3 linked regions of the Saccharomyces cerevisiae S288C genome follow. The gene in region 1 interacts genetically with each later gene. Each region holds a gene or a part of one and is shown in the gene's direction. Other genes may lie near its edges.

The links. A genetic interaction does not mean that the proteins touch.
Region 2: mutations in ENV9 (region 1) and YKU80 together harm fitness more than expected from each alone (negative genetic interaction), as found in Saccharomyces cerevisiae (2 studies listed by BioGRID).
Region 3: mutations in ENV9 (region 1) and SND2 together harm fitness more than expected from each alone (negative genetic interaction), as found in Saccharomyces cerevisiae (2 studies listed by BioGRID).

Annotation. Positions count from the first base shown.
Region 1 is NC_001147.6:794,437-798,465, reverse strand, and holds ENV9 (Env9p), read left to right. Parts: upstream 1-1,672; coding exon 1,673-2,665; downstream 2,666-4,029. Other genes in the region: SRL1 (Srl1p), read right to left, coding at 158-790; DGA1 (diacylglycerol O-acyltransferase), read left to right, coding at 3,134-4,029.
Region 2 is NC_001145.3:477,042-482,229, reverse strand, and holds YKU80 (ATP-dependent DNA helicase YKU80), read left to right. Parts: upstream 1-2,039; coding exon 2,040-3,929; downstream 3,930-5,188. Other genes in the region: YMR106W-A (uncharacterized protein), read right to left, coding at 1,043-1,306; YMR105W-A (uncharacterized protein), read right to left, coding at 3,972-4,166; phosphoglucomutase PGM2, read left to right, coding at 4,624-5,188. UniProt on the Saccharomyces cerevisiae protein: Single-stranded DNA-dependent ATP-dependent helicase. Involved in non-homologous end joining (NHEJ) DNA double strand break repair. DNA-binding is sequence-independent but has a high affinity to nicks in double-stranded DNA and to the ends of duplex DNA.
Region 3 is NC_001144.5:265,114-269,121, reverse strand, and holds SND2 (Snd2p), read left to right. Parts: upstream 1-2,203; coding exon 2,204-2,749; downstream 2,750-4,008. Other genes in the region: PET309 (Pet309p), read left to right, coding at 1-1,309; signal peptidase complex subunit SPC3, read right to left, coding at 1,399-1,953; PER33 (Per33p), read right to left, coding at 2,845-3,666; BMT6 (25S rRNA (uracil2843-N3)-methyltransferase), read right to left, coding at 3,868-4,008. UniProt on the Saccharomyces cerevisiae protein: Functions in the SND pathway, a SRP (signal recognition particle) and GET (guided entry of tail-anchored proteins) independent pathway for targeting a broad range of substrate proteins to the endoplasmic reticulum.

The DNA of each region.
Region 1 (4,029 bases):
AAACGAGAGAAAAATGATAGTGAAAAATAAATACCAGTTGGAACTTAAACTGATGTATTTAGGTAGCAGAAGGATAGAGTTACAGAAGGTGAAATTGTCAATACAGATACAAAAAAGAAACAAAAAGAACTTAAAAGGACACGTTTGAACTCATAATTCACCAACTGGTCGAATTAGTAATCGAAGTGGTGTTGTACCATTGTACGTTACCTGGAGAGGTAGTGGTAACAGAAGGTGCACCGGTGACAGTAACGTATTGTGTAGTCGTATTTGGGGTGACTGTAACGTACTGGGTAACGGGCTCATTGGTGACAGTGACAAACTTTGTGATTGGGACGCAACCATTGGAAGTTGAAGCCTGTTCAAAGGACTTGACCTTTGCATCTTTGTTGTTTGAATCTTCGTCACTGACACTTGCTGCAGTAGATGATGGAGACAAAGTAGTGGAGTCATGAAGGGTTAGCAGCAAAGTGGACGTGATAGTCGAGGTGGAGGTAATTTCATGGGTGGATTCTGGGGTTACAGATCCAGAGGCCGAAGAGGTGGACAAGGAGGAGGAGGCCGCATTGGTAATGGTGGCTGAAGTTGAGGTGAACCAGCTCGTGGAGTAGACCGTTGAGGTGACAAAAAAGGTAGTGGTGTCGTCGGCGTACGATATGGTAGTCTCTTGGGGCACCAAGGAGTAGCTGGGCGCTAAAGTGGTAGTTGTAGAAACAGTATTGTTTGAATAAATCGCTGACACAGAACTTGCGAAGGTTAAAAGAGCGAAAAAGACAACGGATTGAAGCATTTTTTTATTTTTGGTTGATAAAGAACGACTAAGGTGAGAGTGAAAGTGATGTGATTTTTAATTATGTAGTGTAATTGAAACAATAAAAAAAAAACAAGGGAATGGACGAGACCTATTAATGGGTACTATGGCTCAAATAGCAAAAAAAATTTGTAAAATGGGTAAAAAAATGAGAGAAATACGCGAGAAACCTCTTGGTTGGATGTTGTGCTAAACTAGTTGCTTAAACGCTTGCAAAACTTTTTTATAGATAAAATATGCCAAGTGAAAAGAAAAGGAAGCAGAAGAGAAAAACTTAGAAAGGTAGAGGTAAGAAAGAATAAACCAAAATGTAAGCTAGGTGAGGGAAATATTTTGGAGCTTAAATATCTCGAACGACACTCACTCTCGTCAGAAAAATCTGTCGAGTAACTCAGACCACCTCCGATAGCATACCTTGTTTAGTTTCATAATCGGCAGAGACGTCATTCCTGCACAGAACGCCAAAATTCGTGGCCCCCGCGGTACCTGAATCAGGGCCAAGAATTTTGGCGTTTCGTGTTGTTGACATATTCCGAAAAAGGTATTGAGCCACAGGTCTTTCGCGTCTTCTAAGCCCCAAGATAAAGAAAATGCCGCCCTGCTTAATCACTGTTTTTTTTTGGAAAACCCTGAAGTATAGAAGTAGGGCATTGAAAGAAAAGATATGCGGGTAAGATATGAAAAAATTGAGGAAATGAGACCCAAGTGTACATGGGTATATATAAACAAATCATTATGGTGCATGATGCATCACTTACAATGCACACACACTATTGTCTTTGTAGAAACGGGGAAGACAATGGTTGTAGGCCTGATTGGTATTAGAGGCATCCGCAGTACGAGACATACGCCAAAGGCAGAATGTTAGACCCACGAATATTGCCATACTACGACCCGGCTGTGGAGAGGAAGATTGCTGTAGTAACAGGCGGAAATACGGGTATTGGGTGGTATACTGTCTTGCATTTGTATTTGCATGGGTTTGTCGTTTATATTTGTGGGAGAAACTCTCACAAGATTTCGAAAGCAATCCAGGAGATACTGGCAGAAGCAAAGAAGAGGTGCCATGAAGATGACGACGGTTCAAGCCCAGGCGCGGGCCCAGGTCCAAGCATTCAGCGTCTAGGGTCACTGCACTATATCCATTTGGATTTGACAGACTTAAAATGTGTGGAGAGAGCGGCACTTAAAATTCTCAAGCTGGAAGACCACATAGACGTGCTTGTTAACAATGCAGGGATTATGGCGGTGCCCTTAGAAATGACGAAGGACGGATTTGAAGTGCAATTGCAGACTAACTACATTTCGCACTTCATCTTCACGATGAGATTATTGCCTTTACTGCGCCATTGTCGTGGCAGGATCATTTCCCTGTCCTCGATAGGCCATCATCTAGAGTTCATGTACTGGAAACTGAGCAAGACGTGGGATTACAAACCTAATATGCTTTTCACATGGTTTAGGTACGCGATGAGTAAAACCGCGCTAATCCAATGCACGAAGATGTTGGCCATCAAATACCCTGACGTTCTTTGTCTCTCCGTTCATCCGGGTCTGGTGATGAACACAAACTTATTCAGTTATTGGACAAGGTTACCCATCGTCGGTATTTTCTTTTGGCTGTTGTTCCAGGTCGTAGGGTTCTTTTTCGGCGTATCGAACGAACAAGGTTCACTAGCTTCTTTGAAGTGTGCATTGGACCCGAATTTATCTGTCGAAAAAGATAACGGGAAGTACTTCACCACGGGGGGTAAAGAATCTAAATCGAGCTACGTTTCTAACAATGTCGACGAAGCGGCATCGACTTGGATCTGGACCGTTCATCAACTAAGAGACCGTGGTTTCGATATATAACAAGACGGAAAGATTGAAAGAGTAGATAGATGTACATTTTATTTAAATATTAGTTAGTCGTTATTGTAACTGGTAATCAGAGCAAGAAGTTTTTCTGTACTTTGTTCTCTGCAGGCAACTAAGTTACGGGCCGACAAAGGCTTATGATGTGCGTTTTTTATTCAATTGATAGATTCAGTCAGCATTGACGTAATGGGAAGGCTAGAAAAAGAGAAGACTGAATTTGGAAACTTATTCCTCAAAGCAGACCAGTACTTCCACCGCATTTCTGTACTTAACCAAGCACGACAGTGGTCTATCAGGCTTGGATCTTTCACTACACTTCCGCCAAAGTTTTTTTTTTTTCCTGTTTATCCCAGATCACGTTTGTTCCATTAAGGAGGTTTACTATCATCTCATTTCCATTTACACATACACTTACATATACATAAGGAAACGCAGAGGCATACAGTTTGAACAGTCACATAAATGTCAGGAACATTCAATGATATAAGAAGAAGGAAGAAGGAAGAAGGAAGCCCTACAGCCGGTATTACCGAAAGGCATGAGAATAAGTCTTTGTCAAGCATCGATAAAAGAGAACAGACTCTCAAACCACAACTAGAGTCATGCTGTCCATTGGCGACCCCTTTTGAAAGAAGGTTACAAACTCTGGCTGTAGCATGGCACACTTCTTCATTTGTACTCTTCTCCATATTTACGTTATTTGCAATCTCGACACCAGCACTGTGGGTTCTTGCTATTCCATATATGATTTATTTTTTTTTCGATAGGTCTCCTGCAACTGGCGAAGTGGTAAATCGATACTCTCTTCGATTTCGTTCATTGCCCATTTGGAAGTGGTATTGTGATTATTTCCCTATAAGTTTGATTAAAACTGTCAATTTAAAACCAACTTTTACGCTTTCAAAAAATAAGAGAGTTAACGAAAAAAATTACAAGATTAGATTGTGGCCAACTAAGTATTCCATTAATCTCAAAAGCAACTCTACTATTGACTATCGCAACCAGGAATGTACAGGGCCAACGTACTTATTTGGTTACCATCCACACGGCATAGGAGCACTTGGTGCGTTTGGAGCGTTTGCAACAGAAGGTTGTAACTATTCCAAGATTTTCCCAGGTATTCCTATTTCTCTGATGACACTGGTCACACAATTTCATATCCCATTGTATAGAGACTACTTATTGGCGTTAGGTATTTCTTCAGTATCTCGGAAAAACGCTTTAAGGACTCTAAGCAAAAATCAGTCGATCTGCATTGTTGTTGGTGGCGCTAGGGAATCTTTATTAAGTTCAACAAATGGTACACAACTGATTTTAAACAAAAGAAAGGGTTTTATTAAACTGGCCATTCAAACGGG
Region 2 (5,188 bases), on another chromosome or scaffold:
CTGATTGATATAGTTACGTAATTGACTTTTTTAGAGGTTATCGCGCAAACGACGAGTTTGAACGTAAACAAATATGAAACTAATACTGAAAAGGGAAGCATTGGTGATTTTTTTTTCTTGTTCGTACTTCCTTCTGAGCAGAAAGTAAAAAGCCCAGAATGCGACAAAGACATACTCCGGCTGACAATAACGCAAGTGCTGTCACATAAGACTCCTTATATATGACAGTTTGCTGTATTTGTACAGTTGGACCGTCTTCATTACAACAATATTTATTGAACAGTAGCTTGTAATAGGCCGGCATTTTTTTGGTTAATAACAATGCCAGATAACCGCGAAGATTTATAATGGTTTATCGGTTGCATTTTCCATGAGTATAGAAACTATTATAGCGACCTCATTCTCCGGTCATTTAAATTTCCAAGGATCTTAGAGTCCACAAAGGACACAAATAATTTTACATAATAACGATATTACCTCTTTTTCCATTTTATGCGTTGTCGTTCACTATCCTGTTACATTATCAATCTTCGCATTTTAGCTTTTACCACATCCGATAGCCGTTTCTCAATATTATGCCATCTTCCTACACCATATAAGATAATATACCAGTAATATTGATACCAGTGAATGGATGATAGTTGATTGTTATTCCAACAAATAAAATCACAATCATTATCACCATTGCAATGAAACTCCATTTATCATCTATTTAGTAGTATTCATGTTTCTAGTATATAATCATATGCGGTGTAAGAAAATGACATAAAGTTTGAGAAACAGTCATCAAATCTAATGAAAGCTGAAATGCGAAGATTGATAACGTAATAGGATAATAAACGACAACGTATAAAACGAAAGAAGATAAAGTAATTTTTATTATATAGATTTATCGACTCCCTTTTGTGGATTCCAAGATCCTCGAGGAGAACTTCTAGTATATACTGTATACCTACATTATAGCTTTTGTTGACAATGGAGTCCCAACAATTATTACAATATTCACTTATTTCTCACATCATTATGAAGTGACTCCCCTCGGTTAAACGTTAGCGTGTTCTTCATTGCCTGTGGATGAGGATGAGCGCCGGTGCAAACTTTCAAGTTTTTCGAGAGCGTCTTCAAACTTAGCTACCACATTGTTGTCTACATCAACAAAAGTATGGTTCCATACTAAACTACCATCTTCTTTATTGCCGCTTAATTGTAACACGTCTACATTACCAGAATGATGAACTCCGCCTGTCAGATAGTCGTGCTTTGGTGCGGTCTTGATAAAATTGTTGATTGCTTCCATCGATATCATGATTCAGCCTAGGATTTGTGGGTTGCTTTGATTGATTGGAAATGATCGACTATGAGACCTTGAACCAGTTTAATTTTAAAATAAATATTTTTGTTGAACTAGTTCAGCAACCGAAATCCAGAAAAAAAGTTCTAGAAGAATAGTTTTATTAACTTTGAGAAAGTAAAAGCTGAGATAAAAAACCAGCTCAACATATAAGAATACAAGCTGACGGTAAATAACAATAAGTAGCCTTGTTGGCGCAATCGGTAGCGCGTATGACTCTTAATCATAAGGTTAGGGGTTCGAGCCCCCTACAGGGCTTCTTTTTTTGAAGATTCAAGTAAATATGCTGCATACATAATTCTCATTCAAAATATATACACTTAAGACATCTGGCCTTTTCTAGTTAATCTATATATTTAGTTCTTATAATAGATGAATGTACCGTCAACCAAAGATTAGCAGTTGGAGGGCGTTAAAAACAATTTACCATTGCCAGGATTCGACAACACTATTGTAACGTATTTCTGTTTCTGGTCTTGGAGTAATGTTTGTAGTCTATTAGCGGAAGTACCTTTTTACAGTGTCGACACAATTTGACTATTTTTTCAACTAGATTACCGCATGTCCGTCAGGGCATTTGTTGTCATGCAAAAAAATGAATAAAAAAAAAGGGCATCATCAAGAGAAGAAAACCTAATTAACGAGAGTGCAGGACATATGCACAAATAATATATCTCACACCATAATAATGTCAAGTGAGTCAACAACTTTCATCGTGGATGTTTCACCATCAATGATGAAAAATAATAATGTTTCCAAATCTATGGCATATCTAGAGTACACTCTATTAAACAAATCTAAAAAAAGTAGAAAAACAGATTGGATAAGCTGTTATCTCGCTAATTGTCCCGTATCTGAGAATTCCCAGGAAATACCAAATGTGTTCCAAATACAATCCTTTTTGGCTCCTGTTACCACGACGGCCACCATTGGGTTTATAAAACGCCTGAAACAATATTGTGATCAGCACAGTCATGATAGTTCGAATGAAGGCTTACAATCAATGATTCAATGTCTGTTGGTCGTCTCATTAGATATTAAACAACAATTTCAAGCAAGAAAAATTCTAAAACAAATTGTTGTATTTACAGACAATTTAGATGATCTGGATATTACTGATGAAGAAATAGACCTGCTAACGGAAGAATTAAGCACAAGAATCATTTTGATTGATTGCGGTAAAGACACTCAAGAGGAGAGGAAAAAATCGAACTGGTTAAAGTTGGTCGAAGCGATACCGAATTCAAGAATCTACAATATGAATGAACTTCTTGTTGAAATCACTTCCCCAGCAACATCTGTCGTTAAGCCAGTAAGAGTATTCTCAGGCGAGCTTAGGTTAGGGGCAGATATATTATCAACACAAACATCGAATCCTAGCGGCAGCATGCAAGATGAAAATTGCTTATGTATCAAGGTAGAGGCTTTTCCTGCTACGAAAGCAGTTTCAGGCTTAAATAGGAAAACCGCTGTTGAGGTGGAAGACTCCCAGAAGAAAGAAAGGTATGTGGGGGTCAAATCCATAATCGAATATGAAATTCACAACGAAGGAAATAAGAAAAATGTCAGTGAAGATGACCAGTCTGGATCGTCATACATTCCCGTGACCATCTCCAAAGACTCTGTAACGAAGGCATACCGTTATGGTGCAGACTACGTAGTGCTACCGTCCGTTCTAGTCGATCAAACTGTATATGAATCTTTTCCAGGCTTGGATTTAAGAGGATTTTTGAATAGAGAAGCTCTTCCAAGGTACTTTTTGACGTCGGAATCCTCCTTCATTACCGCCGACACAAGACTTGGCTGTCAATCTGACTTAATGGCTTTCAGTGCTCTAGTGGATGTTATGCTAGAAAATAGAAAAATTGCTGTTGCAAGATATGTGAGCAAGAAAGACAGTGAAGTGAATATGTGTGCATTGTGTCCCGTTCTAATTGAGCACAGTAACATTAATTCCGAGAAGAAGTTTGTTAAGAGCCTTACCTTGTGTAGATTACCATTCGCGGAAGACGAGAGGGTAACTGATTTTCCAAAACTTCTGGATCGAACAACTACATCCGGGGTACCGCTGAAAAAGGAAACAGACGGGCATCAAATCGATGAGCTTATGGAACAATTTGTAGATTCAATGGATACAGATGAGCTACCAGAGATTCCGTTAGGCAACTACTATCAACCCATAGGCGAAGTAACAACAGACACCACTCTCCCACTTCCCTCTTTAAATAAAGACCAAGAGGAAAACAAAAAGGATCCTCTTAGAATACCCACGGTTTTTGTCTACAGGCAACAACAGGTGCTACTGGAATGGATTCACCAACTGATGATCAATGATTCCAGGGAATTTGAAATCCCAGAGCTTCCTGACTCATTGAAAAACAAAATAAGTCCTTACACGCACAAGAAATTTGATAGCACAAAATTGGTTGAAGTGCTCGGCATCAAGAAAGTAGACAAATTAAAACTCGACTCCGAACTAAAAACTGAGCTTGAGAGGGAAAAGATCCCGGACCTAGAAACGCTATTGAAGCGCGGTGAACAACACAGTAGGGGAAGTCCAAACAATAGCAATAATTAAAAAAGGTCTAACATCCTTTGAGTTATGTTTTCGTCACCACAGTTAAAGAGAAAAAAAAATAAATAGCGGGTAAATAATTGTCATACTACTGATTTGCATTGTTACCTTGTAACTTTGAACACTAGCCATGCAGGTTGCTTTTCCTCCTTTACACCTTCCCCCCTGTCGCTGTTCAAAAGTAAATGCAACAACAATAAAACGTGGGTAGAGGACGTTCCCTGTATGTACTAAAATCATACTATCATCCGTTGAGGTCGAGCGGTTCTCTAATCTCAACACACGCTGCTGCCCCTGAGCTTGCGAGCTAAGGACAACAGGGCCAACTTGTTCTTTCTAGGGGGGAGAGGCCCAACTTAGGCTCGGTGAAGAGAAGCGCGGAGCTCACGAAAAGGGGTGGTGTCGCGCACTACTTTTTTCGTGGGGAACTTACGTGAAAGGGGACGTTATACTTTTGTTATGTGCAGTTCCAGGAACAAACAGGGGTTGAAAAGTGTAAAAGAAATAGTTGATTCTTTCAGAATCTGGATGACTGCCGCCCGAACAATGTGGGAAATATAAAAAGGTACCGTTAATATTGTTTCATTTTCGAAGATAGTGTTCCATGTCTTTCTTCAGCGTTGCTTGAACAATAGGATAATAAGAAGAAGATCAACCAATCTTTCTCAGTAAAAAAAGTAACAAAAGTTAACATAACATGTCATTTCAAATTGAAACGGTTCCCACCAAACCATATGAAGACCAAAAGCCTGGTACCTCTGGTTTGCGTAAGAAGACAAAGGTGTTTAAAGACGAACCTAACTACACAGAAAATTTCATTCAATCGATCATGGAAGCTATTCCAGAGGGTTCTAAAGGTGCCACTCTTGTTGTCGGTGGTGATGGGCGTTACTACAATGATGTCATTCTTCATAAGATTGCCGCTATCGGTGCTGCCAACGGTATTAAAAAGTTAGTTATTGGCCAGCATGGTCTTCTGTCTACGCCAGCCGCTTCTCACATCATGAGAACCTACGAGGAAAAATGTACTGGTGGTATTATCTTAACCGCCTCACATAATCCAGGTGGTCCAGAAAATGACATGGGTATTAAGTATAACTTATCCAATGGGGGTCCTGCTCCTGAATCCGTCACAAATGCTATTTGGGAGATTTCCAAAAAGCTTACCAGCTATAAGATTATCAAAGACTTCCCAGAACTAGACTTGGGTACGATAGGCAAGAACAAGAAATACGGTCCATTACTCGTTGACATTATCGATA
Region 3 (4,008 bases), on another chromosome or scaffold:
AGCCATCAAAGCTTATATTGGTTTACGAAATGCCAACAAGTGTGAAGAACTTTTCGACAAGATCACAACCTCAAAACTGGCTGTAAACAGTGAATTTTACAAGATGATGATAAAATTTTTAGTTACACTGAACGAAGATTGCGAAACGGCATTGAGCATCATAGATCAACTAATAAAACATTCTGTAATCAAGGTGGACGCTACACATTTTGAAATAATAATGGAGGCATATGACAAAGAGGGTTATCGTGACGGTATAATTAACTTGTACAAGACAATGTCACAGAATAAGGTACCAGCGAATTCCAAAATTTTATATTATATATTGAAGGCCGTTGCCAAAAAAAGCCTACAAAATAATGAGGAAATCAAGGAAACGATTAATATGGTAGAAGACATCATGGAAAATGCTGCCAATGGAACTCTCGACGTTACGTATAACAAACTGCATCCCTCGGTCATGGCATGGCCAATGAGAATGATTGTGAAACATGATAGCCCACAGCGGGCTTTAGAGTTATACAACCGGTACAATGAGCTTTTCTTCAAAAAGCATGATTGGATATCAAATAATAATAAATTTGTGATGATGAGATCATTGTTGGTATTACTAGCTCAAATTGAACAATGGAAAGATTTCGAAACACTTTTCGCTAAATACATGGATCGTATTGAAAACATTGAAAACTTGCCATCATCTACAACGCCAAATATTAAACTAAGAAGCATATTCAGCGGATTGTTCCCTTATAAAGTAAGTCAGTTGATTGCAATGAATAAAATCGATGAGCTGCCATTACTGTGGAAGAAATTGCGAGAAAAAGGTTTTATTTTAGATAATATATCGTGGAACAGCGCTGTAGAAGCGTTATTTAAGGATCCAAGAACCCTTTCGTATGGTATGAAAATCGTTGATGACACACTAATTCATGGGTATAATTTGATCCATAAATTTAGACTATTAACGAAACTATCCGAGGATAAGACGCAGTCCAGTGATAAATCTTGGCCAACATTAAAAATGAAGGAAAAAGAGCCCAATAAATTTCAGCCCAGACTATACTTAAAAAGCGATACATATAACAGTATAATGAGGCAGTTAGACACATATTTGGACGGTATTGATGATTTAAAAACTTTAGAAGATCAGGTACGTGACTTCATATCAAATTACAAGTATTTTATGAAAGATTACTTATTAATGCCAAGAAGCAAGATCAATAAATGGGAACAGATTGAAATGAGACATCTTTCATATTTTAAAGAACTGAGGAAATCTAAGAGAGTATTACCTGTGAGTAAATTCTAGAAATGCATATATCATATTGTATAATCAACTGCATATATATCAAAAAATCATGTAAATAATTAACAAAAATTGAGAGAGCAAAGACTAGTCTAAACTTTGTTTTTATTTTCCACGGTCAGTGTATAGTTGCCTACAGTTTCACCGTAAGTTAGCAAACCTACCCATGGTTGAACATTCCAGTGTAACTTGAAAACCAAATCCTTGCCTTCGAATTTTCCATCTTCAATATCCCAGATAGAATACTTGGATCTTAGATCGTTCACATCAATCACAGCATCATCCTTGCTTTTTATGATCTTATCCCAAAATGTTACCTCACTTGTTATTTTTTCAGTACTGTTATACTCAGCAGTTAGATAGACAAAAACTTGCTTTGTATTCCAATTGAATAGGGGAGTGAGATCTGTATTTAGATCAAATTTAATTTTCATATTTTCCTTTGCCTTGCCTCTCTGTGAGCCAAAATATCTACTTGTTCTAACATTTATTAAAGTTTTGACGTTATCGATATTACTAGGTACTGAGAACGCGTTATTATTGATTAATTGATAGTATGAGGATGCCATGATGAATACAACCATTACAATTCCCATTGAAAAGGCCTGGTTCGATACATTCTGGAATCTTTGGACAAAGGAGAACATTGTTCTGGAGAAGTGCGGCAATGCTAGCTAGCTTTGTGGGTCTTTGTCTCAGTGGAACTTAATAGGCTTAACAATCAACTTTTTTCTCCACGTCTACCGACTGTCATGAAATTAGTCGACCTTCGTTCTGCGCCTTTGAAATGAAAAATTTCAACGTAATTAAAAAAAGATAATAGATGAAAAAAAGGTAGTATTCACGTGTGGCTTCAAGAAGACACCAAAGGCAGTGGTCTAAGTTTGTGTTGGTAGAATGGCTGGCAAAGCAGGGAGGAAACAGGCTAGTTCAAATGCAAAAATAATTCAGGGCTTATACAAGCAAGTCTCTTTGTTTTTAGGAATGGCTATCGTACGTCTATTCATTTCACGTAAGGTTACAATTGGCCAATGGATTAAGCTGGTGGCTTTGAACGTTCCTATGTTCGTTGCTCTGTATATCATTGTGCTATCCGGTAAGCCCAAATATGATGGCAATCGCGTAGTAAAACAAGGTATAGACTTGAACGACAATACAAATTTGATATCATATTTTTTTGATTTGATATATCTATCACTTTTTGGTAACATTGGTATTATAGCTTTCAGGACATTCAAATTTTGGTGGTGTCTACTATTGTGCCCCATCTATGCTGGTTACAAGTTATATGGCCTCAAAAACATGTTCATGCCTGGCGCTCAACAAACTCAGGCAGATAATCGCTCAAAAAATGCTAATGAGGGACAATCCAAATCCAAAAGGCAGATGAAAAGGGAGAGGAGGGGTGAAACTGACTCTAAAATTAAGTACAAGTATCGTTAAACAAAGCTTTTCAAACGTTTTTGAAATTTTTTGCTTTCTATAGAGGAGTGTGAGTATATACAAAATAATATTTAGATATACTTAAAATGAGCATGCTACACAGGTATCTTCCAAAACACTGTCATAACGAAATTCTTATAGCCGTTCCATAAACGGGAACAATATGGGGGCAAAGTACGGCTGACATATGCATCCAACCTAAGGACATATTGTTTAAATATCTGCCTCATAGATTCACTTTGTAGGTACCTTAATTTGAAAAACCATACATAGGTTAGTCCTGCCAACATTGTACCCACTACCTCAAACGACACGTTTGCTCTTCTTACCAACAACAAGAAAAAATTGAAGGGCACTAAGAAGAGGCCCACACGTAGGCCGCAGATAATCTCAAATACTTGCGCCATCTGTAAGAAAAATCCATTGTAGTTTTGGATGAATACCGTTATTTTGGAGTTCAACAAATTTTTCAAATTAAGTGGTATCAAAGGCAAAAATGGCAAAAGGTTTTCCTTAAAATAGTTCAGGAAGTGAAAGATTGAAAAGATAACGGGACTGTATAACGAGCCGCTGATTATGATGTTAAACTGTGATAAGAGAAAAAGTATGAATAGCATGGCAAAATACTGCAAATTATCCAATTTCTTCATCTCTTGGCGCAAAAGCGTAAAATTGAACTTTAACTGGTCACTTTTGAAAAACTGGTAAAGAACGATGGCATATGTAACGGATATGTAAAATAATGATCTTCTATAGCATGACAATTGGTTTTGTTTGGACGTGATTGAAAGATGAAATTGTATAAAGTTAAAGATGGTTAAAAAATGGCCTATAAACCAATAAAACTGGGGTTGTTTTATTCTTGATTTGATAATGGTGCCAAATGGTGCCATGGGACGATTCCTGGGAACGGTCATATTGTTTTGTGCTAATTTTTTTTTACAATTATTCGAAATGAGTCTTGTTTGATCGTGGCCCCTTCTTTATTTCTGATTCCAAATCGAATTTTCAACTCTCTTATTAATATTTTTTCGGTGTGGATGAGAAGAAAAAAAATTTTTCTAAACTCTTCGAGAAAAGAACAATGAAAAGAGAACAGTAAAACGTCATAAAGCCTGTTAGTTCTTGACATAAAGACGGTAAAAGAATCGCATGTTTTCCAATGGAATCGAGTAGTCGAGTTTTGGGTCCATTCTATACCAAATACTGTCGTTCTCGGATACTAGTGACCATGGACCTGTCGTTCCCTTGTCCTTTCT